4 linked regions of the Danio rerio genome follow. The protein of the gene in region 1 interacts with the protein of each later gene in a pairwise test. Links are inferred from orthologs where the notes say so. Each region holds a gene or a part of one and is shown on either strand. Other genes may lie near its edges.

What was found.
Region 2: the proteins of setdb1b (region 1) and tsc22d1 interact in a two-hybrid assay, tested with the Homo sapiens proteins (2 studies listed by BioGRID and IntAct). The link is inferred for Danio rerio from reciprocal best matches to the Homo sapiens genes SETDB1 and TSC22D1.
Region 3: the proteins of setdb1b (region 1) and cdk4 interact in a two-hybrid assay, tested with the Homo sapiens proteins (2 studies listed by BioGRID and IntAct). The link is inferred for Danio rerio from reciprocal best matches to the Homo sapiens genes SETDB1 and CDK4.
Region 4: the proteins of setdb1b (region 1) and mrpl44 interact in a two-hybrid assay, tested with the Homo sapiens proteins (2 studies listed by BioGRID and IntAct). The link is inferred for Danio rerio from reciprocal best matches to the Homo sapiens genes SETDB1 and MRPL44.

The regions. Positions count from the first base shown.
Region 1 is NC_133191.1:23,260,258-23,264,888, forward strand, and holds the end of setdb1b (histone-lysine N-methyltransferase SETDB1-B), read right to left. Parts: intron 2,208-4,631; coding exon 2,090-2,207; 3' UTR 1,548-2,089; downstream 1-1,547. UniProt on the Homo sapiens protein: Histone methyltransferase that specifically trimethylates 'Lys-9' of histone H3. H3 'Lys-9' trimethylation represents a specific tag for epigenetic transcriptional repression by recruiting HP1 (CBX1, CBX3 and/or CBX5) proteins to methylated histones.
Region 2 is NC_133184.1:20,414,956-20,421,507, reverse strand, and holds the start of tsc22d1 (TSC22 domain family protein 1), read left to right. Parts: upstream 1-2,555; 5' UTR 2,556-3,106; coding exon 3,107-5,706; intron 5,707-6,552. UniProt on the Homo sapiens protein: Transcriptional repressor. Acts on the C-type natriuretic peptide (CNP) promoter. Acts to promote CASP3-mediated apoptosis.
Region 3 is NC_133186.1:159,002-165,325, reverse strand, and holds the end of cdk4 (cyclin-dependent kinase 4), read left to right. Parts: intron 1-13; exon of another isoform or gene 14-219; intron 220-1,543; coding exon 1,544-1,761; intron 1,762-2,033; coding exon 2,034-2,169; intron 2,170-3,004; coding exon 3,005-3,172; intron 3,173-3,345; coding exon 3,346-3,455; intron 3,456-3,606; coding exon 3,607-3,657; intron 3,658-3,739; coding exon 3,740-3,875; intron 3,876-4,064; coding exon 4,065-4,139; 3' UTR 4,140-4,271; downstream 4,272-6,324.
Region 4 is NC_133190.1:37,850,056-37,856,441, forward strand, and holds the start of mrpl44 (large ribosomal subunit protein mL44), read right to left. Parts: upstream 4,155-6,386; 5' UTR 4,074-4,154; coding exon 3,901-4,073; intron 1,179-3,900; coding exon 956-1,178; intron 1-955. UniProt on the Homo sapiens protein: Component of the 39S subunit of mitochondrial ribosome. May have a function in the assembly/stability of nascent mitochondrial polypeptides exiting the ribosome.

The sequences.
Region 1 (4,631 bases):
CAACACTGGGAAACACCCATACACTCTCAATCACACACACTACAGACAGTTTAGCTTACCCAATTCACTTATACCGCATGTCATTGGACTGTGGGGGAAACTGGAGCAACCAGAGGAAACCCAGGCCAACATGGAGAGATCATGCAAACTCCACACAAAAAATGCCAACTGACCCAGCTGGGGCTAAAACCAGCGACCTTCTTGCTGTGAGGCGATCGAGGTACCCACTGCGCCAACGTGACACTCCTAGTTTAATTATCATCCTTCACAATAACATTGCTTTAGGGCAGTGGTCACCAAACTTGTTCCTGAAGGGCCGGTGTCCTGCAGATTTTAGCTCCAACCCTAATCAAACACACCTGAACGAGCTAATCAAGGTCTAACTAGGTATACTTGAAACATCCAGGCAGGTGTGTTGAGGCAAGATGGAGCTAAACCCTGCAGGGACTCCGGCCCTCCAGAACCAGGATTGGTGACCCCTGCTGTAGGGGATTAACTCCCCATTTAAGTGTAGTTAACTGGTGATCTGTGAGCCAGGACGGACGGCTGTACATAGTTTGAGATAAATGGCAATATTTATTTTTTAAATGTCAATTGCTTTGTTTTTTTTTAAAGAAAGGTTTTGTTAAATAAAAAGAGCATACATACAGCTATATTAGGCTTTTTTTTGACATTTTTAAATTTGGTAAATCCTTACTGTTGAACCCTAAACAGTCATGTGAAATAAAAATGAGTTGCAATGCAACACTATGGCTAAATCAAATAATTTTTAGCGTGTCAAAGTTAAACTTATGCATATAAAATATATTTTCCTAACAACAAAATTCTGGCAAGTGAAAATGCTGAGTGGCTAGCAGTGGTGTAAAGTAACAAATTACAAATGCTCAAACTAATGCAATTGACTAGATTTTCTCAGAAATTGTAATTTAACAAGTAGTTTTAAAATTGTGTACTTTTACTTTCCCTTGAGTACATTTTTATTGAAGTATTGGTACTTTTACTCCACTACGTTCCTTCAACCTGCAGTCACTACTTCTTTATCCTGTCTATGAGGATTAGAAAAATCAGTTCTGTGATTCCTGTATAATTAAATTGCACATAGAAGGTAAATCACATCATAACTAACTACCTCAATACATCTGCAATTTATAACGGTTTGGAAGCGGTATAAGTGTCCAAGAAGATGTCCAAAATCTTTACACGCATTGACTCAAGAGGTTTTTTAGATCCATGTGCTTAATGAGAAGATGATGGATGCTTACTGTGTGATGACTGAAATGGCCTTAAACACCTAGCAGGCACTAGACGTCCACATGCAATGAAAATTAGGTTGACATCAGAACCCAATGTCAGGCCAACATCAATGTCCAACATCCAGCCTAAAATCAACCAAATATCAACGTCTAATGATGTTACAGCTTGAAGTTGTGTGGACGTTACCACTATGACATTTATCAGATGTTGGATTTCGGTTGCCATCCTGACGAATCAATATCAGGATTTTGATGATCAAAAATGTTAAGCCCTGGCCACAGGAGAAAATGACATTTATGGTCTTTGGAGAACTTTAATTCAAATTGTGACAAAAGTACAATTTTGCCTGTTTTCATAAACTTACTGACCAACAAAAGCACATTTACACATTAGCATACAATAACACAAAACCATGAATAAAATGATAAAACAAAACACTCGGGTCCTCATTATCAAAACTACATAGGATGTAAAAGAGGACAAATATAACCAAGCAAAACAGAAGGGTGTTGAGACTGATGATTGCATACATGTAAAAAAGAAAAGAAAAAAGAGGGATATTAATGGGAAGGACTGCTAAACCACAGATAGACATTGTGATAGACACAATGTGCCCATTTAGGGTTTAAGGCGGAACCCTGTGAAGCAGGACATGCTCACGTACACCTATTTTACAAATTCAATAAGTTCCTGAACAATTTTCCTCTCATTTAGTATCTGCAGAGTTCTTATCAGTAGCACAGACATCTCTGTACTAATTCAGCTTCCAGGAGCTCCAAGTAAGTGTTCAGCGGCCCAAAAGGAGATACCTTTAGTGCATGTGTTCAAGTGTGTGTTACAGCAGTCGTCCTCTGCATTCTGTTGATCCACAGCAGCACAGAAGTTCCTTGCCCTCTACACTGCCTACCTCATAATTATAGTCCCACGTCAGCTCCGTCCCTGCTCGGATTCGCCTGTAAAAACACAAAGGCAAGAGCAGTGTTTACATGCAGCCTGATAATCATTTAATATTCTGACAGTCAAACAGTTCAAACTCAATCAAAAGCCGTTAGTTGAACAACTCAAAGCAGAAACCAAACGTAAATCTAAAGCCTTTACAGCTGGTATTAAGATGTACTTGTCACTTATGCTAAATACAAGTTTAAGCAGGGTCTGAAACAGTAGCTATGTTTCCATTAAAAATGTCAATTAAATGTATGCGCAAAACAGTAATTTCGCATAAACGGGTCAAAGAGAACAAAATCGTTACTTCCTGATAAACTGGCACCAAAAATCAACAGTAAAACAGAATTTACAGTGATAGGAGACGCTGCGTGAAGCTTTTCCTTATTTAATAAATTATTTGCACCTCAGAAGATGATGCCGACACACAATGAATGCGTGGTGGTGTTTGAAGGTCTGAGATGCGGAGCACAGACGCTCTTGACAGTTCTGGAGGTAATTAATAATATAATAAAACTGATACTGAAATGGTTAAGGCATTTTATAATAACCAAAACAACATTTCAGATGATTTACAATGTGATGGTTTGTCCATTCACACACATTTTTATCATCTCTTACAACAAAATCACAACTTACAACATATCTTGTATAACAAAATCGCGTGACTTTTTTTTTAATGCACATACTGGAATTTGTTCGGTAAAAGTGTTTCCATCGTAGTTTAACCTCCTAGGGCTTAATTGTCCACATAAGTGGACAGCACATTTTAGCTTTTAAGTGGCTATTTAAAATACTTTGAATGTTTTTATATTTTATTACATACAGTGTCATCTTGCAACTGTTTTGCAGCATATGAAATGTCCCAAACACTACTTTTAACTGTCCAAAATGGGGGGAAAAAATTGTTTTTATTGTCTGAGAGTCAAAGTAGGTTAAAAAAATTCAATGTAAAATAGGCATTCAAAAAAATTCAGGAAAAAGTGTTTTATGTAAATTCGAACCCAAGGTTTTTATTTTAATTAGGTTCTAATAGGCCCAAATAACAAAGAGAAAAATGCATAAAAAACACCTTGTGCCTTAAGAGGTTAATAAAAAGTTTATGCTATTCAGTGTGTATCTTGGCGTTTACATCAACTGACTTTTTATGCACATAGAAATAGGTGGATGGAAACACAGCTATTGGGAGCTTGTTCCTATACCACTTCCAGAGGCAGATGAAAATGCATTAGAAATGGATTGTGTTAATAGTATAGATGCTAATATATTTAAATGTATTCAAACAGTCACAAACACCACCTACTCTCTGAATACTGGCCCAGGATTTTTTTTCAGGTATCACCAAATCAAATGTAAATTATTTAAAAACTTTTTCAAAGGTCCCGTGAACTGAAAATAAAGGTTTTTTGATGTAATTAACTGTATAATAGTCTTAAAGATATCTATAAGCTAGTGTGCTACAAACCAGTGACAAAATTAATATTTAGAAAAAATAAACCTAATATAAACATCCTACGTTTGCAGTTTGTCACTTCCACATTAAATGGATCAACAATTTTTTTCATGTCACCTCATACTTCTGTTTCTCATCAAATCTTGACCAATTAAATGCTCTCAAGTATCTGACATGCCCTGCCCCTTTCATAACACTTTTAAAGCTACCTAATTGATTCAGAATATAACTGACAATACATCTCAATTAAAAGAGTTTTTTTTTAAAGCATATATACAACTAGGGTCTGCTTGTTTTTACAGCTGCAACTAACGATTATTTTGAGAACCGATAAATCTGTTGACTTTTTTTTATTAATTGATAATTCCGATTAAAAAAGAAAAACAAGAAAAGCCTTCATTTCCAATCCTTTATTCAAAAAAGCTCATTCCTAAGCTGTTATAATAATAATAATAATAAAAACGAAGTAGTTTTGTGCTGTTTTCAATCCAAATATCTAAAAAACAAACTTAAATCATGATACATACTAGACACATGAAATAGAATAAAAAAATGTCTTGTTTTCTGAAAAAAAAAAAAACAAACTTAAAATGAAGTGATTGTTTGCTTAAAACAAGTTAAAATATTTGCCAATGGGGTAGGAAATATAATCTTAATGAGATATAATCGCAAACAGAACTTTTAAGCATTACTTCATTTTCTCATGTCGTTTTTCTTGTCTAGTAATCTTGATTTAAGATTTTTTAGATTTTGAACTGGAAACTAGACAAAATGACTAAGTGAGAAAATGCAGTGTAGCTATGACAACAAAAGGAAAAATGAAAATCTTGCAATGCAAAGTATACACTGCTGCTTTCTTTCTGTTATTAACTTTTTCACTGGTAAGTTTAAAAGATTCTATATGGCCCTGGTGTGAGCTTTATTAAGCAGGTCGCACACCAGAAGCGCCGCTCGGCGCCGCGCACAAGACAGTTTAAAGTAT
Region 2 (6,552 bases), on another chromosome or scaffold:
CATTTTTTATGAACTATCATTTTAATCTGTTTTATATATATATATATATATGCGCCTAAATGTAAAATGACCCAAGTGCAGTGATCATGTATACACACATATATATATATATATATATATATATATATATATATATATATATATATATATATATATATATATATATATATATATATATATATATATATATATATATATATAAAATGTATACATGATCACTGCACTTGGGTCATTTTACATTTAGGCGCATGTTGTCAGTTCTTTATAAAAGCAACTCAAAAATTGCCAGTTTGATGTAATAATTCACAAGATATGTGTAAGACATTTGGTGCCCTGTCATTTTGAGAGCTGTCTGTTTATGAGATCTGCATACTATTAGCCACAGGACCATAGCCAGAGAGGGGCTTCAGGTCGTTCAAAGACCCATCCCTCACTGACAAAGGTCCAGAATTTTTTTTCATACATTAGCTCATTTGTCCTATTTTTACTCATATGCCATCATAAATAGTGAAAATAACCTATCGAAAAACCCATCAAATTACATGTTTTACAAGAGAGACTAGAAACATTGTGAAGCTCTATATTATTGTTGTTATTATTATCATTATTATTATTATTATTATTATTATTATTATTATTATTATTATTATTATTATTATTATTATTATTATTATTCAAATGGTCAAATTTTTTAAAGAGGAACGTTAAATGTGCTGAACAGTTTGTTATTTATATTTTGCCAAATAAATGACAATAGGCTTGTTTTTAATTTAAAACAGATTATTTTTTCCATAATGATATATAAATGTAATAAATTTGTATTTTAAAAAATAAGTATTTTTTTCATATTTCAAGCTAATCCGACTAGCCAATCCAGCTAAATGAATGCTTAAAATGTATTTAAATCTCATAATTAAATAGAAAATGTAGATTCATTTATTCATTCATTTTCTTGTCAGCTTAGTCCCTTTATTAATCCGGAGTCGCCACAGCGGAATTAACCGCCAACTTATCCAGCAAGTTTTTACGCAGCGGATGCCCTTTCAGCTGCAACTCACCTCTGGGAAAGAAAATGTAGATGTACAACTATAAAAAGGTTCACTTTTTGAGAACCACCACTTTCACCAGGCTTGCTGTGGGCCTGAGCTTAGCCCACAAAACAGAATATTTTTACATATAACAAGCATTTTTACACATAGATGCTCAAAAAATTAACAAGAGTCTTTAAAATCATTATCTGTTCTCTGGATTTGCCATTAGTAGGTCCGTTTGTGTTAAATGTTCATTTGTGTTGTAGAAGAAAAAATAGTACTCTGATAAGGTGTTTTCAGAATTACAAATAAGAATATTGTCATTTAGAAAATGTATTATATATTAAATTTTCACATATTCTATTACATTTTCACATATGACACAATGACTGGGTTTGTAAACAAAAATAAAAAAATCTGAGAACAAAAATCTAAGAACCAAATGATTTGTCAGACAAATTCCTTTCCTGAACAACTCACAAAAATCCACTATCAATCCATTTTAGAAATTGTTGGGATGAAGAAGTTTTTATTCACTGCATTTATCTTTTTATTTCAGAGACAGATTGTATAAGTTTCTGGTAGAATGTATAAATAATCAGTGTGGGTATAAATATCTGAGGTTTATAATGCGAAACTTGTTCCAGACAACAAAGATGGTATTCTCACAATCACAGCTGAAAGCTAAATATAGTTGGATCAGCACACATGTAATAAATTCCTGTTGTATTATAGTGTAGCTTGTCTGAAACAAAGCATATATTTTGAGTTCACATTTTGGATATTATTCATGTTAAAGTAAAACAGCTGAATGTTTTTTTTTTGTGTCTGCTGCACCTAGAACTTTAGTTCTCTGCTCCCCAAACAGCAACAATCAGATTGTGTGAAAAAAAAAAACTGTGTCAGTGCAGATGTGTTTGGTTGCTCTTTTCTGTCTGTGGAAATATCTGGGTTCTCTTTCAGACGAGTTGTTTTGTAAAAACAGAACAAATCTCTGGACTATGTTGACAACATTGTTGTCACAAGGTCTGTTTGCATCTTGTTGATGTAGCTGGCCTGTATAGGCCAACACACACAATAGCAGCTAACTTAAAATAGCGTTTTGCTTAATCGTTCATATGTTTAATCTGTAGTAGGTTATATTTTATAATTAATTTATGTTCAAAATTAAATCTGAAGTCGATTTTTATAAATATAAAATTTTATACATTTAAAACTGGGAACCAGAAATCTATGCCCTGCCTTTTTCGTCTCTCCTTCAATGTCAAATAATAATAACCACGGCGGACAAAAGATGTTATTCTGAGTGTTTGCTGCCACAGTTACCGAAGGCTATAATAAGAAACACCCCTCAACCAACACAGTTGGTCGCACTCGGCTCCACTCGGGCCTCTTCGGAACTCTTCGTCGACCGTCTCCTGGAAACCCCCCTCCCTCCTCGCCTCCGCCCATCCTCGCCAGACTCTCTGGGCTTTATGTCTGGCCGGGTGGACGTGAACTGCCATGCGCGGTCGCCATGTTATCGCGCTCTCCTCCCCTTTTCGGGGACTCGTCACAGGCTCATAGCACTAGCACAGGCTACATTACAAGGAGGCAGCTGGTGAATAGGAGCAGAGTGGGAGAGAGACATTGCGCTAACACAGGAATAAAACAAAAGAAAGCACGGGATGGAATAAAGCAGGACAGCGCTGAGTTGCTCGCTTTCTCTCTGTCATCTGACGCCGGCTGGAGGACTTAGTTTCGTGTGATTTCGTGCTCTGGTGACTGCGATACAACAATTGAAAATGCGCCTGGCAGTTTGAACTGTGATGGGGAGAAACCGTGTCGTTATAAGGTTGGATATTAATCGCCTCGGCCGTCTGTGTCGACTCCTGCACGCTTAAACTTCACCGATATGGTGTGCTGAGTGATTTAGTGAGGATATACCTTTGAAAACAACAGCCGAAGCGAATCCGTGTCGGCTAGCTCGCTAGCGACTGTTAACTTAGCATTGGCATTAGCCTGCTCCTCATGGTGGACATTTAAATACACCTCAAGTGGAATTATTGTGGCAGTTAGAAGAACGTGTTGGTTTTATGTGGAAATTACTCGAACGGCTTGAAGTTGCTTTCCCAAAAGAGCTTGTTCTCTTGAGCTGCGTTTATAACTTTGTCAGAGACTATACTCCAGCAATGAATCACCACGAACGATCCGGAGACTCCGGCAGCGCCCGAAAAATGGTTTACCCCATGAGTTTACCCAGACGGGAGAACAGCAGCAGCACAGTAGGTGGTTCCTCTACATTGACAACTTCAGCAAGCACCAGCCTTAATAGCAACAACTTGATGCTGGCGGATGAATATTCCCCACCAGTGCTGATTCAGTCTCAAACGCAGACTGCGTCCTCGCTCGGGCCCCAGAACCCTCCGCATAGCCTGAGTATCCCCTTGCAGACACCCATGTTACCCCAAACGTTGCCCACTGCAGTTGCACAGATGAAGAAGAAGAGTGGCTTCCAGATCACCAGCGTCACCCCGGCGCAGACATCTGTGAGCACCAACAACAGCATTACAGAAGACACAGAGAGTTGTGACGACCTGGATGAGTCCCACACAGAGGACTTGTCATCCTCTGAAATCATGGATGTGTCTCTTCCACGGGCCAACAATTCAGGAGGTCCTGAAAGAAGCTCCTCTGAGGAGACGCTGAATAATTTTCATGAGGCGGAGACCCCTGGTGCCCTGTCACCCAACCAGCCACCCATTATAACCCAAGCACACCTGCATGGCACCATGGTTAACGGAACTGTTCACCACCACCATCACCACCACCACCATCATCACCATCATAATCCTGTTTCCTCTGGAAAAACCCATCCTGCTGGAGGGACACTGATTGGGGTACCTTTGGGTGCCCCGGTCACATCTGTGGTGACCTCAAGTTCGGCTAGCACAGGCCAGAAAATGCCTTCAAATGTGGTGGGATTGATTGAGAATGCCTCTGTTGGCACAACTAGTGCCATCGGACAGCCTTTGGCTACTCTCGCCTCTGGAACTGGAGTGATTTCTGTGACTTCAGGTGCCACGATTAGTACTGGTAATACTTTAACTAATAATGTTTCCGTGTTAAACTCTGCCAGTGTGCCTGTTGTGGGTGGCAAGACTACCAATAGTAGCAGTGTAAACTACTCCTCTGCTTTGAATAGTATTAGTAACCAAACCCCAAACTTGACCCACGTTCCCAGTGGAATAATCGGCATGGGCATCACCGCTGCTGCCACGGTTTCCGGTAGTGTTGCGTCAACAGGTGGAGGGCAAATGGGGCCAGCTGTCATGGGGCAGCATGCAATGCCTGCACCCTCTGTCCCAGTGATGAGCGCTCAGCCTCAGCAGGCCCAAGTGCCTACTCCTGCCTCCACCAGTTCACGTTTCAGAGTGGTCAAATTGGACTCTACCTCTGAGCCTTTTAAGAAGGGTAGATGGACTTGTACAGAGTACTATGATAAGGAAGCCCCAAATGTGGCATCCTCTGAAAATGCCCCTAGCACCCGAACAGTGGAAAGTATCCGTCAGTGTGTGCCTGAAAGTGTGGCGGGACAGGACCGAGACACAGTCAGCGGGAGCTCTGTCAGCAGCTCAGCTAGCCATTACACTGAAAGTCTGGGCAGCGGTGAAACGGGCGGCCCCTCTACTGTGAAGCAGACCTTCCAGCAGCCCATGTCTCAGATGCAACCCCAAGACTTAGTTCAAGTGCATCTTAAAACGAATGCAGCAGCTCCGATGCCGGCAACAGCAAACATTCAGCAGCAACCGCCTGCATCTATCGGAGGATTGCAGACCACGATTGTTCAATCGTCTGCACCTCTACCCTCTCATATGCCCAAACTGACATATGCCCAAGCAGCCCAATCCCCTCCTGCTCAAGCTCTGCCTGTGGTGACCCAGCAGCAGATGGGCTATCCGCCCGCACAGCAGCCAGCTGCACCAGCCCAGGTAGCACCAACACATGTTAACCCCTTAAGCCAGGGAGGCAGCCTGCCATCTGACTTCTCCCAATCCAAGCAGATCCTGAGCACTGTGCCACCTGGGTCAACAAAAACTCTGCCCCACCTGTCCGCCTCCATCCCTCCTGTGGCTCTCGCTGGTAATGGTCAGATGATCACACCCTCCTCGCAGCCCCCTACTGCTCAGCCACTTCCGCAAGGGCTCCTGCAGCCACAACAGACACCCGCCCCGCAGATGGTCCAGGTTGTGCCGCAGCTGGTGCAGTCCACTGGCACCACTCTTATACAGCAGACACCAGGCCAGCAGCTCACCTCACAACCCTCCATGGAGCAGCAGCAGCAGTCACAGCTCGGCAGTCAAGCCCGTGGCACCCAGTTCGTCCCAGCCGTGACCTCATCAAGCGTGCCTCCTAACATTCAAAGTGATCCCCAGTCCAGTTTGTTTCAGAACGGCTCAAAGGAGACTGGGCCGCAACCTGCTGTTAGCACCCGGCCCTCGGTGATGCCGCTGGAGGATGCCCAGCTACTTCTGTTACAGCACCAGGCTCTGCTCGCACAAACCAAGCCAGCCGGTGGTGAAAGTGCCTCCCAAACCGGTACCTCTCGTGGTCCAGAGGGAAGCAGTGGAGTCAATGCCTTATCCGCCTCGGCCAGCCTGCTGAAGAGTTTACCTGTTGATGGAGAGGAGGATGGGTAAGTTCCACTGCTTGTTTTTTTTAATTGCATTGCTTATTTCAGTTCAATTTAGTTTGTAATTATTTCAGCTTTATTAAAAAAATCACACATGCAGCTCAGCATGGTGATCAGCATTATGCTTTAATCAACTGCTATCAACAAATTGTAGTGTGCAGTGAATATCACAGCAGGGCGATGGCTTTCCACAGCATAGCTAAAATCGCAAGCATAGCTTTTTTTGTAACCTAAAACTGTAGACTGCTAGACTGTATCTTTGGTATTACAGACAGAAAGATTATGCTTTCACCTAACAAGAATTTCGGTCTGCTTGGGGGGAAAAAGGCACACATGAAATCACTTGATAGTGCAGTATTTATGAACTTGACATTTCCTATTGAGACAGGAAGTTGAGCCTGTAGTCTTTTGTTTACCTCACAGCCTCAGACTTTTTTTTAATGCTAGTCGGATGTGTGTGTGTGTGTGTGTGTGTGTGTGTGTGTGTGTGTGTGTGTGTGTGTGTGTGTGTGTGTGTGTGTGGGTGTTACTGATAGGGACTTTTTCATTCTAGAAAGTTGGCCTGTACAATATATTGTTTCAGCATAGATTTTGCAACATGTGACTCTGCAATATTCACACTGCAGGATGTGCAATGTTGAACTGGGATTATAGTTGACCAGACACTACAGTGGAGTCAATGCAAAGTTTAAACTTAGAGTGAGTTTTTATTTGTGTGTGTTTTTCAGGCTTGTGACAGTAAATCAGGTAGTTATTTGTAGCTTAAACATTAATTGTATACAGTGCTTCCCACAGGTTTGAAATATACTTGCGCTGGTCACCGGATTGAAACACACCTTTTACCCACAT
Region 3 (6,324 bases), on another chromosome or scaffold:
CCTTGAGATCAAACAGGAAGTGAGTTGAGACAGACTGTGAACAGGCCAGAGTTTCTCACACAAACTTTAATGAGTTAAACTTCTGAAATATGAACTGAAATCCTCAGTCAACAGCAAACTCCGCACAACAGCCCGCATCTGAGCGCCGCGGAGCAGAAGCGATGCGCGCTGCACTCTCATAAACTAGTTTAACTAGCTGTGCACGCGCGGAGAAACGTGGTGAGTGCTCAGAAGTGTGTGTGTGTGTGTGTGTGTGTTCAGTATATACAGTGCTCGTAATGACCCGTGTTATGATGTCTCGATTATGCTGGTTCAGCTCGGTGGATGTGTTTGATGACGTGTTGTTGTTGTTGTGTTGTTGAGTCTGTGAGTGTCGTGATTGTGACTGATGTTGTTCTGCTCCTCCTGGGAATGAGCAGCTCCGGCCAGCACTAACAGCGCTTTACCACAGTTTACCTCATTACAGCGGTGCAGGACACACTCCTCCAGCAGCAGCGGGTAAACACATCCTCACACTGCCGCTGAGCTGAAGAGTGCAGAACACGGAGAAGACAACTGCAGGAGCTCTACTGAACACACACACACACACACACACACACACACATCAATATAAGGAGCCTGTGTGGTGTCATATCAAAGAAAATGTACAGTTATTAAGAAAAACACGCTCTCTTATACTATGAACACAGAGTTAACCTCACTGAAACACTTCTACAATTATCACACACTTATAAACATTAAACAGGAGGGAGGATGAACAGCGCACAGTGGCCAGCTTTACTGATGCACCAAATATATATATATATATTTACATGTTGTGTGTGAGAAGCAGTAAATTACAGGTCATCATCATCCACCAAACACTCAAATATGGAAAATGTTTAAAAATAAAGTCAATTTTTGACATTTTAGGAAGTTTTTTGTGGGGAAATGTTGTAATGGTGCAGCGCTGGGCAGCAGAAATGCAGTGTTGCTTGCTTTACTGTGTGTGTGTGTGTGTGTGTGTGTGTGTGTGTGTACAGTTTATTTAGATCAATGACAGCCTACATGTCTGTATGTCACACTAATGATCATCAGAGAAGTCTTATATTAAGAAAGAGGAGAATCAAAGTGTGCGTATTAACACACACACACACACACACACACACACACACACACACACACACACACACAGAGTGTGTTCGAGGTTGTTCTGGCTCTAGTGATGGTGATGTGCTTTCAGGCTCTGGGTTTGTGTGTTTGTGGCCTGTTTACACAACCAGCAGCGCCACACAACTGAGCTGTTGAGTAAATGTGGAGAAACTGGTGTGTGTGTGTGTGTGTGTGTGTGCAGGTTTGTCTTAATACAGCTAAAACTGATGTTTCTGTCTTACAGCAGAGTCACACACACATACTGACAGCAGTGTGTGCACATGTACAGGTGTGTGTGTGTGTGTGTACAGGTGTGTGAGCGTGTGTATGTTTGTGCAGGTAATGATGCCTGCAGAGGAACTTGTGTGCGCGTGCATCAGGTGATGGCACAGTAATGTGTGTGTGTTTGCAGATGGCGCAGGAGGTGGGGCTGCAGTATGAGCCAGTAGCAGAGATCGGGGGCGGGGCTTACGGGACCGTCTATAAGGCTCGGGATCGGGACAGCGGGCAGTTTGTGGCGCTGAAGAGCGTTCGGGTGCAGACCAATCAGGACGGACTCCCACTGTCCACGGTTCGAGAGGTGGCTCTGCTGAAGCGCCTGGAGCAGTTCGACCATCCCAACATCGTCAGGTACACACACACAGTTACATACACACACACAATCACTGATACACACAATTACTCATGGGCACACACACACACACACACACACACACACACACACACACTGATCTCCTTCAGAACTGTAGTAGTTCTGCAACTGTTTGTTTGAGGTTCTTGTTTTGCTGAAAGATCTCGTAATCTGTGTGTCGCGTCCTCTGTGCGTGATGACGGGGTGTGTGTGTCTATGATCAGGCATTTTGTAAGTGTGTAATCTGTGTGTGTGTGTGTGTGTGTTTCAGGCTGATGGACGTGTGCGCGACCCTCAGGACGGATCAGGAGACTAAAGTGACGCTGGTGTTTGAACATGTGGATCAGGATCTCAGGACATACCTGGAGAAAGTTCCAGCACCGGGACTGCCTGTGGACAAAATCAGAGTAAGACACACACACACACACACACACACACACACACACACACATGAATATTTATTGTTTGACCAATAGTTCAGTTATATTGTGGGTTAATTGGTCAGAGCGGGGTCTTCTCAGCTGAGCGCATGCCATGTATAAAGTAAGCTGTGTCAGTGTAAGCGGGGCCTGAGTGTGTGTTGTTTGCGAGCGGGTTTGTGAGTATGTGTTGTTTGCGAGCGGGTTTGCGATGGGGGCGGGGCGGGGTGGAGGATTGGCGATGCCGGCTCAGCATCGTGTTGTCTATCGGCCATCGGTGATGAATGATGGCATCATCTGTATAAACGTGGTTGAGCTCAAGCGCATCAGATGAACAACCAATGAGAAGAAGAGGGCGGGGCATGCCAGACAGGAGAGAGCGTGTGATTGGTCAGGATATTTGATGAGAAACTGCTGTATGAAGTGATGTGCTTGATCCATTTAGGCGGACGAGACAAACTGCAGACGTTCTATCTGCTCAATGTGAATGTCGTCTCTGTTTCTGGATATTATAGATATCAGCACGACTAACACACTGATGCTCACATTATTTCAATATCACAGGGCCTTCATAATCCTTTATAAAGCATTACAGCATGCTTTAATTGTATTTATTAGACAGCTGTCTGGAGGGCTGATTGGTCATTTCTGACACTTCAACAGTGTGTTATTCCCTGATAACACCTGCTGAATAACATGGAGAGAGAGAGAGTGTGTGTGTGTGTTCTGCAGGTCCTGATGCAGCAGTTGTTGTGTTGTCTTGCGTTCCTGTAATGTGTGTGTGTGTGCGTGTGTGTGTGTGCGTGTGTGTGTGTGTGTGTAGGACCTGATGCAGCAGCTGCTGTGTGGTCTGGCGTTCCTGCACACTAATCGAGTTCTCCATCGGGATCTGAAGCCGGAGAACATCCTGGTGACCAGCAGAGGGCAGGTGAAGCTGGCGGACTTCGGGCTGGCGCGCATCTACAGCTGCCACATGGCACTGACCCCGGTGGTGAGACACTCACACACACACACACACACACACACACACACACACACACACACACACACACACACACACACAGAGACACACAATGTCCTGTGAACACACTGCTGACACACAAATACTGATGTGTATGTGTGTGTGTGTGTGTGTGTGTGTGTGTGTGTGTGTGTGTGTGTCAGGTGGTGACGCTGTGGTATCGCTCTCCTGAGGTGCTCCTGCAGAGCACATACGCCACACCAGTGGACATCTGGAGCACCGGCTGCATCTTTGCCGAGATGTTCAGACGCAAGTGAGTCTCAGCAGAGTGTGTGTGTGTGTGTGTGTGCGTGCGTGCGTGCGTGCGTGCGTGCGCGTGTGTGTCAGCGGCTGCAGATCTGCTGCTGTATGTCCTCTGGTTTGTGAGCTTGAGTTGATGATTCTGTCCTGATTCTCCTCTTCAGGCCTCTGTTCTGCGGAGATTCAGAGGCGGACCAGCTGGGGAAGATCTTTGCGTATGTCAAACACACACACACACACACACACATTCACACAGAGAGATGAGGTGTGTTATTGACGGATCAGTGTGTCCCTCAGGGTGATCGGTCTGCCGGCGGAGGATCAGTGGCCCACAGACGTCACTCTTTCCCACCACAACTTCAGCCCTCAGAGCCCTCGGCCAATCACAGACTGCGTTCCGGACATCACAGAGAAAGGGGCGGAGCTATTGCTGGTACGTTTACACACACACCGACAGATAACCCTGAGCACAACACACACAGCTCAGACGCAGGGCGCTGTAGGAGAGAGTGATGCTGCATCGGTCACCTGGATCTGCTGACCGCTCGTGTTCAGCAGGAGATGCTAAACGCATGAGTGATGTGAGAGACGCGCTGACAGCTCTGTGTTCTTGTGTTGACAGAAAATGCTGACCTTCGACCCGCTGAAGAGGATCTCTGCGCTGAACGCTCTGGATCATCCCTTCTTCAGCGAGTGATGCTGCTCTACACACACACACACACACACACACACACACACACACAAGCCAGCAGACTGAAGATAAACATTCCCTGAGTGTGTGTGTGTGTGTGTTCATCTGCTCTGTGATGAAGAGGAGCTTAAATCAGGGGTGTCAAAGTCAGTTCCTGGAGGGCCGCAGCTCTGCTCAGTTTAGTTTTCCCCTAATTAAACACAGCTGATCACACTAATTGAGTCCTTCTGGCTTGTTTGAAAGCTCCAGGTGAGTGTGTTGGAGCAGGGCTGGAGCTGAACTGTGCAGGGCTGCGGCCCTCCAGGAACTGAGTTTGACTCCGCTGGCTTAAAGGGTCAGTTCACCCACAAATCAACATCTACTGGCGCTTATCTCTCCCTCAGGGGGTCTGAAACCTGTTGGAGCTTCTCTCTTCTGTTCAACATGAAAGAAGATATTTGGAAAAATGTTGTAATTATTGACATCTAAAGTAGGAGAAACAAATAGTATATAAGTCAATGGTTGCTGGTGTTCAACATTTTTCTAAATATCTTCTTAATGTTTAACAGAAGATGGGTTAAAGACCCCGTGAGGGAGAGATAACCCTAAGTAGATGTCGATTTGTGGGTGAACTGACCCTTCAGTGCTCGTTCTCCATCAGTGTGATGTTATTAGTGTTCACAGAGGAGGATCTCTGCATGACGATCATGCTAAACAAACTGCCCATGTGACGAGTGAGGGAGTGAGTGAGGGAGGGAGTGAGTGAGGGAGTGAGTGAGGGAGTGAGGGAGTGAGTGAGTGAGTGAGGGAGTGAGTGAGTGAGGGAGGGAGTGAGAGAGTGAGTGAGGGAGGGAGTGAGGGAGTGAGTGAGGGAGTGAGTGAGTGAGTGAGGGAGTGAGTGAGTGAGGGAGGGAGTGAGAGAGTGAGTGAGGGAGGGAGTGAGGGAGTGAGTGAGGGAGTGAGTGAGTGAGGGAGTGAGAGAGTGAGTGAGGGAGTGAGTGAGGGAGTGAGAGAGTGAGTGAGGGAGGGAGTGAGAGAGTGAGTGAGGGAGGGAGTGAGGGAGTGAGTGAGGGAGTGAGTGAGGGAGTGAGAGAGTGAGTGAGGGAGGGAGTGAGAGAGGGAGTGAGGGAGTGAGTGAGGGAGGGAGTGAGTGAGGGAGTGAGTGAGTGAGTGAGGGAGTGAGTGAGTGAGTGAGGGAGTGAGTGAGTGAGGGAGGGAGTGAGAGAGTGAGGGAGGGAGTGAGGGAGTGAGTGAGGGAGTGAGTGAGTGAGGGAGTGAGAGAGTGAGTGAGGGAGTGAGTGAGGGAGTGAGGGAGGGAGTGAGTGAGTGAGTGAGGGAGTGAGTGAGTGGTGAGTGAGTGAGTGAGTGAGTGAGTGAGTGAGTGAGGGAGGGAGTGAGGGAGGGAGTGAGAGAGTGAGTGAGGGAGTGAGTGAGGGAGTGAGGGAGTGAGTGAGTGAGTGAGGGAGGGAGTGAGGGAGTGAGTGAGTGAGGGAGTGAGTGAGGGAGTGAGTGAGGGAGTGAGTGAGGGAGTGAGTGAGGGAGGGAGTGAGGGAGTGAGTGAGTGAGGGAGTGAGTGAGTGAGTGAGTGAGTGAGGGAGTGAGTGAGTGAGTGAGTGAGTGAGTGAGTGAGGGAGTGAGTGAGTGAGGGAGTGAGTGAGGGAGTGAGTGAGGGAGGGAGTGAGGGAGTGAGTGAGTGAGGGAGTGAGTGAGTGAGTGAGTGAGTGAGGGAGTGAGTGAGTGAGTGAGTGAGTGAGTGAGTGAGTGAGGGAGTGAGTGAGTGAGGGAGTGAGTGAGGGAGTGAGTGAGGGAGTGAGGGAGTGAGTGAGTGAGTGAGTGAGTGAGTGAGTGAGGGAGTGAGTGAGTGAGGGAGTGAGTGAGGGAGTGAGGGAGTGAGTGAGGGAGTGAGGGAGGGATGAGGAATGATTCGTGTTCGTCTCCATCATCCTGAAATAAAGCCGTTCATTTATAACCCTGTCTGGGTCTGCTTGATTGTGTGGGGGTGTCGGTGTGGTTCAGGACAGTCGCTGACACTACTGCTGCTTCAGACTGCTTCACACACATGACTAGCGAGCTCTGCGGACAGTACAGTGATGAACAGATCAATTACTGTAGTTGTGTTACCATAGCAACTGTAGAATCACCACAACAGATCAATCACTGTGGTTGTTGTGTTACCATAGCAACTGTAGAATCACCACAACAGATCAGTTAC
Region 4 (6,386 bases), on another chromosome or scaffold:
CAGAAAAATCTACCTTCAGGCAGTTTTCCAAATGATTAACTAGAAGTCCAGTTATTATTTGTTGCTCTTACAACTGTGATCGATGAAAAGACTTTTGTCAGGTAGTGTGTATTTATGCATACACACTTTCATTTGTTGTTGTTCTCCATAGAAGTTTTTCTAAAGGGATAATAGTGTCAACTGATGATTAACAGTAAAAATTACAAATTTGACCTCTTCTCAACAGGGAAAACCACCAACAATCAAGAATGCAGGATTATATGCTGTCATGGCTTTGCAATCAAAAAATGTCATTATAATGAAAGTCAATGGGGTAAAAACAGCCAAAAAGATTATGAAAGGGTAGTGCATTTCAACAATACACAAGGGTTAATTTAATCATATATTTAGTGTTATAACTATGGTTTAACCTCTGTTGTTTAAATTATATTGTGTATGTTTGAGGGATATTTGATTTCATAAGTCAGACTGACTGAATTATTCAGAAGCAGCTCTTCCTATAGAATAACAAAACTCAGTCTCATGAATAATATTTAGACAGCTAACACTTCACTGGAGTACACAGAGGCTTATGCTACATCACCAAAAGTAACGCTGCCTGACAGAGATTTTAAAGCTGAAAGATTTTAAAAAATTAGAGGGGTAAAGCTCAAAATTAGCCAGTTTTTCCCTTACAGTAAAAGCTAACAGATACTAACGTTGTTTTAACAGATTCTAACGTTGATTTTCAACATGCATAAATCTGTTCAAATCTTGCAACTCAGATGATTTAACTCTACTTTTCTTTACTACCTTTCCGTTGGCTCCTGCTTCTGCATTTTACAGCCAAGTTCCTCTTTGATAAAAGCCTAATTAATACAGTTTTGATGTTAGACAGATATCAACAAAACAGATCTGGCAACCGGGCATAGATCTGCTTTGTCTGGCGTGGCAACTGTGATCTGACTGTGCTTACCGTAGTGAAGTGTTGACCGTGATCACGCAGCTCAGTGTTGTCTTTCAGGTTAAGGATGGCGGACTCTGAATCCAAACCCAGCGCTTTCCTCCTCTCCACCTCAGAGCGTAGGTAACAGGAATTCACAAACGCCGTCTTCAGCAAATCCACAGAGAAACTCTCCTGCAGACGGACTCCGAAAGCTTCCACCTCAGCATGGTAATCAAAGTTCGGCTGTTCAGAGCTGATCAAAAGACAAGACACAAGAGAGTTAAAGCCATGGATGGAGACATAATTTCAGAGGTGATGTGGACAAAACATCAATATCAATACAATTATAGTGAAACACACATACACACTTGCACACAAAATGTATATACACCACCTGACAAAAGCCTTGTTGCCTATCCAAGTTTTAGGAACAACCAATAATAACTTGACTTCTAGTTGATCAATTGGTATCAGACGAGGCTTATATGAAAGGCAAAGGCCTCTAGATTATGCTTAATTTACCAAAATAAAACTGATCATGCCTTGATTTTTAATGATTTAATTAGGACAGTAAGGTCTGACTTTGCTTAGACAAAAGTCTTGTCATTTAATATAAATAATGCACAATAGAATATTAAGTCATGGTGCAGTGCAAAAAGAGTTGATATGACTCCCATGAGCTTGGAGGACTGCATCCATACATCTCTGCAATGACTCAAATAACTTATCAATAAAGTCATCTGGAATGGCAAAGAAAGCGTTCTTGCAGGACTCCCAGAGTTCATCAAGATTCTTTGGATTCATCTTCAATGCCTGCTCCTCCATCTTACCTCAGACATGCTCAATAATGTTCATATCTGGTGAGTGGGCTGGTCAATAGTAGAGCACCTTGACCTTCTTTGCTTTCAGGAACTTTGATGTGGAGGTTGAAGTATGAAGAGGAGCGCTATCGTGATGAAGAATTCACCCCCTCCTGTGCTTTGTAACGTAATGGGCAGCACAAATGTATTGATACCTCAGGCTGTTGATGTTGCCATCCACTCAGCAAATCTCTCGCTTGCCCCCACACTGAATGCAACCCCAAACCATGACTTTTCCTTCACCAAACTTGAATGATTTCTGTAAGAATCTTTGGTCCATGCAGGTTCCAATACGTAATCTGCAGTATTTGTGATGATTGGGATGCAGTTCAACATAATTCATCAGAAAAATCTACCTTCTGCCACATTTCTAAATGATCAACTAGCAGTCAAGATTGACGACAAGACTTGTCAGGTAGTGTATTTATAATTTTATTTAATACAATTTTATTAATATAGATGTCTTTTAATCATTTACAAAAGATAATTCCCCCATTAATTTATCTTTATATTCTTTCAAACCTGTATTATTAATTTAGTAAGATAGCTTATTGATGATTAATGTTGAGTTTGTATTATAATTTATCACTTGCATGTGTTTTTGATGCCTGTGATTGTATAATTATTTTAAAAGTATTCAGGTATAAGAAATTGCACCATTTGTGTTTTTAACTTTGATTAAGTTTATTGAATTTTTTTTGTACCATTCAGTTACTGTATTTGAATACTGAAAGACTCGGTAAACGCTGAAACACTTTATTTCAATTGTATATTTTTCTGTATTGTATTTATAGAAAATACTCACAACACATGCAAATACAGAAATGCACTGCAAATAGCTTAAACCACAACGAAAATAAGTTGGGTAAACCCAAAAAGTTTATAGATTGTTTACTAGATTTGATGGAGATGCAAATATTGAACATTAAGTAATCAATCTCTGACTAAACAAGTGCATAAAAACACTCACAACACATGCAAATACAGAAATGCACAGCAAATAGCAAAGACAACTGTGAAAATGTGTCAGGAGACCCAAAAAATGTATAGATTGCTTATTAGATTTTATGGAGATGCACTCCCACTGCAAAATCATCCCAGGTGATCTAATATTATAAATTCTTTTCGAACAGAGATATTAAGTCATCTGGTGAAATTGTATTCATATCGCAATATTTATCGCAAAATAAAAAAATGCCACCCAAAGTTATTCATATTTAAAATGCATACATGAAATGCTAACTGAATACTCGGAAAACAAAAACCATTGTGGACGGCAAAGTAAGAATTTCATTGTACAGGGAAACGTGTTTCCTTACTGTGCACATGACAAAAAACAATTGAATTGAATTGAATTTCATGTTTACGCATGGAAATGGTCTATAACTAACAATTGAAAATTCTTGTAAATATTATTTTTATTGCTCAAGCCAAATCATCTACTTAAATTAACCACTAATATTGAAACAAACAGCTCTATGGCTCTATAACGCAAATTATTTAGACAGATGGTATGCATATAGCTTTACTACAATTAGAATGATATTTACTTCTTTGTTGAACTATTGAACACTAAATGTGAAATAACAATAGTTAACTGTGTTTAGTACATTTGTTTAGTGCATCTGGACATTTGTACTCATTGGCTGTGTCTCAATTTCCTGTGAGCTGTCTTTTTTTTGGTCAACACAGATAACGTACACTCTTAAGCAACTGAGGTAAAGTTGGTATTATATTATCACATTCGGGCTTTCAGCTTACTATTATAATTTCACCAAAATATTGTTTGCAAATTCTAAATAGTGAAATCATATTAGCAGCCAAACGACTATCAAAGTACAGTATTGTTCAGTCAAATAAATAATGCTGCTGCTAATGCTGTTTTCAAGTCATACCTACCTGTGATTGACCAGACCCAATACTCAAAGTAGCATGGTAAACATAAGAAGCTTGTCACAAGTTGTCACTGAACGAATGTGCGAATATAAAACCAACTTTACCTCAATCCTTAAGCCCTCTTGACACCCATATATGCATCCTAGGAAGGCGGTTGAACATGATTTGTGTCACAGCCCTGTGTCTCACTCATAAGTGGCCTTGAGATGCTTTACTGACCGTGGCTTTGGAGCTGGAGGTCCCTCCAGCTTCAACTTCTTGCGCATGACGAACATGTAGGCCTTCATCCATCTCTTCTTCTCTCTGATTTGGGTGAGCATCACTCCTCTGCACACATGATGATAATGCAAAGGCAAAACGGCACGACTCACGAGCGCCCTGCACGCCGCCATGACAGCTGCGACCTCACACACTGCGCATTCCGCGAACGAGCGACTGAAACCCGGGGGCAAACTGTCCACAGCGCCGTCTCCTGGCCGGAGCTCCTAGTTGGTGTTTTAACTTTTGTAAATAACTACATTTGAAAAAAAAAAATTTTTTTTTAATGTAAATTGATAATTATGCACCCACTCCCTCTTTTTTTTTATCATTATTTTATTTTTCTTATCTCATTTATTCCTTCTTGTTAAGGATTGTGAAGTGATTAAATTGTATAATGAAACTAAATGCTGGTTCTTGTTCATTCATTCATTTTCCTTTGGCTTAGCCCCTTTATTTATCAGGTGTCGACACAGTAGAATGAACCGCCAACTTATCCAGCATATGTTTTACACAGCGGATGCCCTTCCAGCTGCAACCCAGAACTTGGAAACATCCATACACTCTCATTGCAGACACATACACTGTGGACAGTTTAGTTCACCTATAACGCATGTCTTTGGGGGAAACCGGAGCATCCGGAGGAAACCCACACCGACATGGGGAGAATATGCTAACTCCACAAAGAAATGCCAACTGACTCAGCCAGGACTCCAACTAGCAACTTTCTTTGCTGTGAGGCAACAGTGCTAACCAATAAGCCACCATGTCGCTCCCTGGTTTTTGTTAATAAAGCAAAATAAGAGCAATAATAAATACAAAAGAATCCTAATTTAAAGTTTTGTTGACTGAAATACGCTTTTATTTTCAGTATCAGAGACTCTCTACTAGAAAGCACTTCACACTTTAAAATTGTGTAAACTTTATAATGTATTAATATAATTACTGCATAAGTAGATTTTGTATTATGTTAATTCTTCCTCCCCCTGGCATCTAAATTATTTATGTAAAATGTCATATGCTGTTCCTTAAAAACAAAACAAAACTAAACTAAAAAACATCTGAGGTGGTGCAAGTCATAACTGAAAATCGAATGTGCAAACAATATAAAAATATCCTGGCATAATGAATTTAATTTCAGTCACTATATGATCACAGAACAGTGTGTTTTTTTAGACAATATGAAGAATGATTTTAAATTGTGTGTAATGTCTATTGTAATGTTTTTTTTTTTTTAAATTGAAATGTAATGGCTTTTCTGCATGACATTTAATTTCATATATTTATTTTGTCATTAAATACTGTTTTAACAGTGGCAATATACATCCATGTGTTTGTGTACGATATAAAAAGTACTGTGGTGGTACCATGTTATTCCAAGGTATATCAATTATAAATGCTAGCTTAAGTTTTAGTGTTGACATTATTCAGAACATATTAATTACAAAAATAAACGTTCTTGCATGTTCGCTTATTCAAACTATAACCATTACTTTATATAAATAACCTTTTTACTTTAATTAGGCCATACAATATAAAAATTATCATAGAGAAATTAAATTACAATTAAATAATAATTATATTTTCTAACATATATATAATGCTTTTCTGGACATTCAAAGCGCTTTACACATTGGGGGGAATTTGCTCATCCACCACTAGTATCCAGCATCCACCTGGATGACTCAACGGCAGCCGTATTGTGCCAGAACACACACCACACACCAGCTGATAGGTGGAGAGGAGACAGAGTGATGAAGCCATATATGCTATGGGGATGATTAGGGGCCCATGATGGACAAAGGCTATTGGGCAAATTTGGCCAGGATGCTGGGGTTAAACCCCTTCTCATTTTTTTGAAGGACATTTTGGGTTTTTTAATGACCACAGAGAGTCGGGACCTCAGTTTAACGTCTCATCCGAAAGAGTCCCCTTCACTATACTGGGGCGTTAGGCTCACACAGACCACAGGTTGAGCGCCCCTTGCTGGTCTCACTAACACGACTTCTACAACCTAGCTTTCCCATGTGATAGGGAACAGCACTGCTTAGCTTCAGTGGGCGACCATGTGAGAATTGAAGAGAGCTAGCATAAAACAGTAATAGTGCTTATTTTCCAGCTGTAATACTTTTTGTAATTACTAAAATATGAACAAGTAAAACATATGCTTTTAATTTTCCATGTTCAAAATACTAACAGTATTATATTTATTATTAATTATATATATATATATATATATATATATATATATATATATATATATATATATATATATATATATAATTATATATATATATATATATATATATATATATATATATATATATATATAATTATTATATTAATATTATAATATTAATATATTTATTATATATATATATATATATATATATATATATATATATATATATATATATATATATATATATATATATATATATATATAT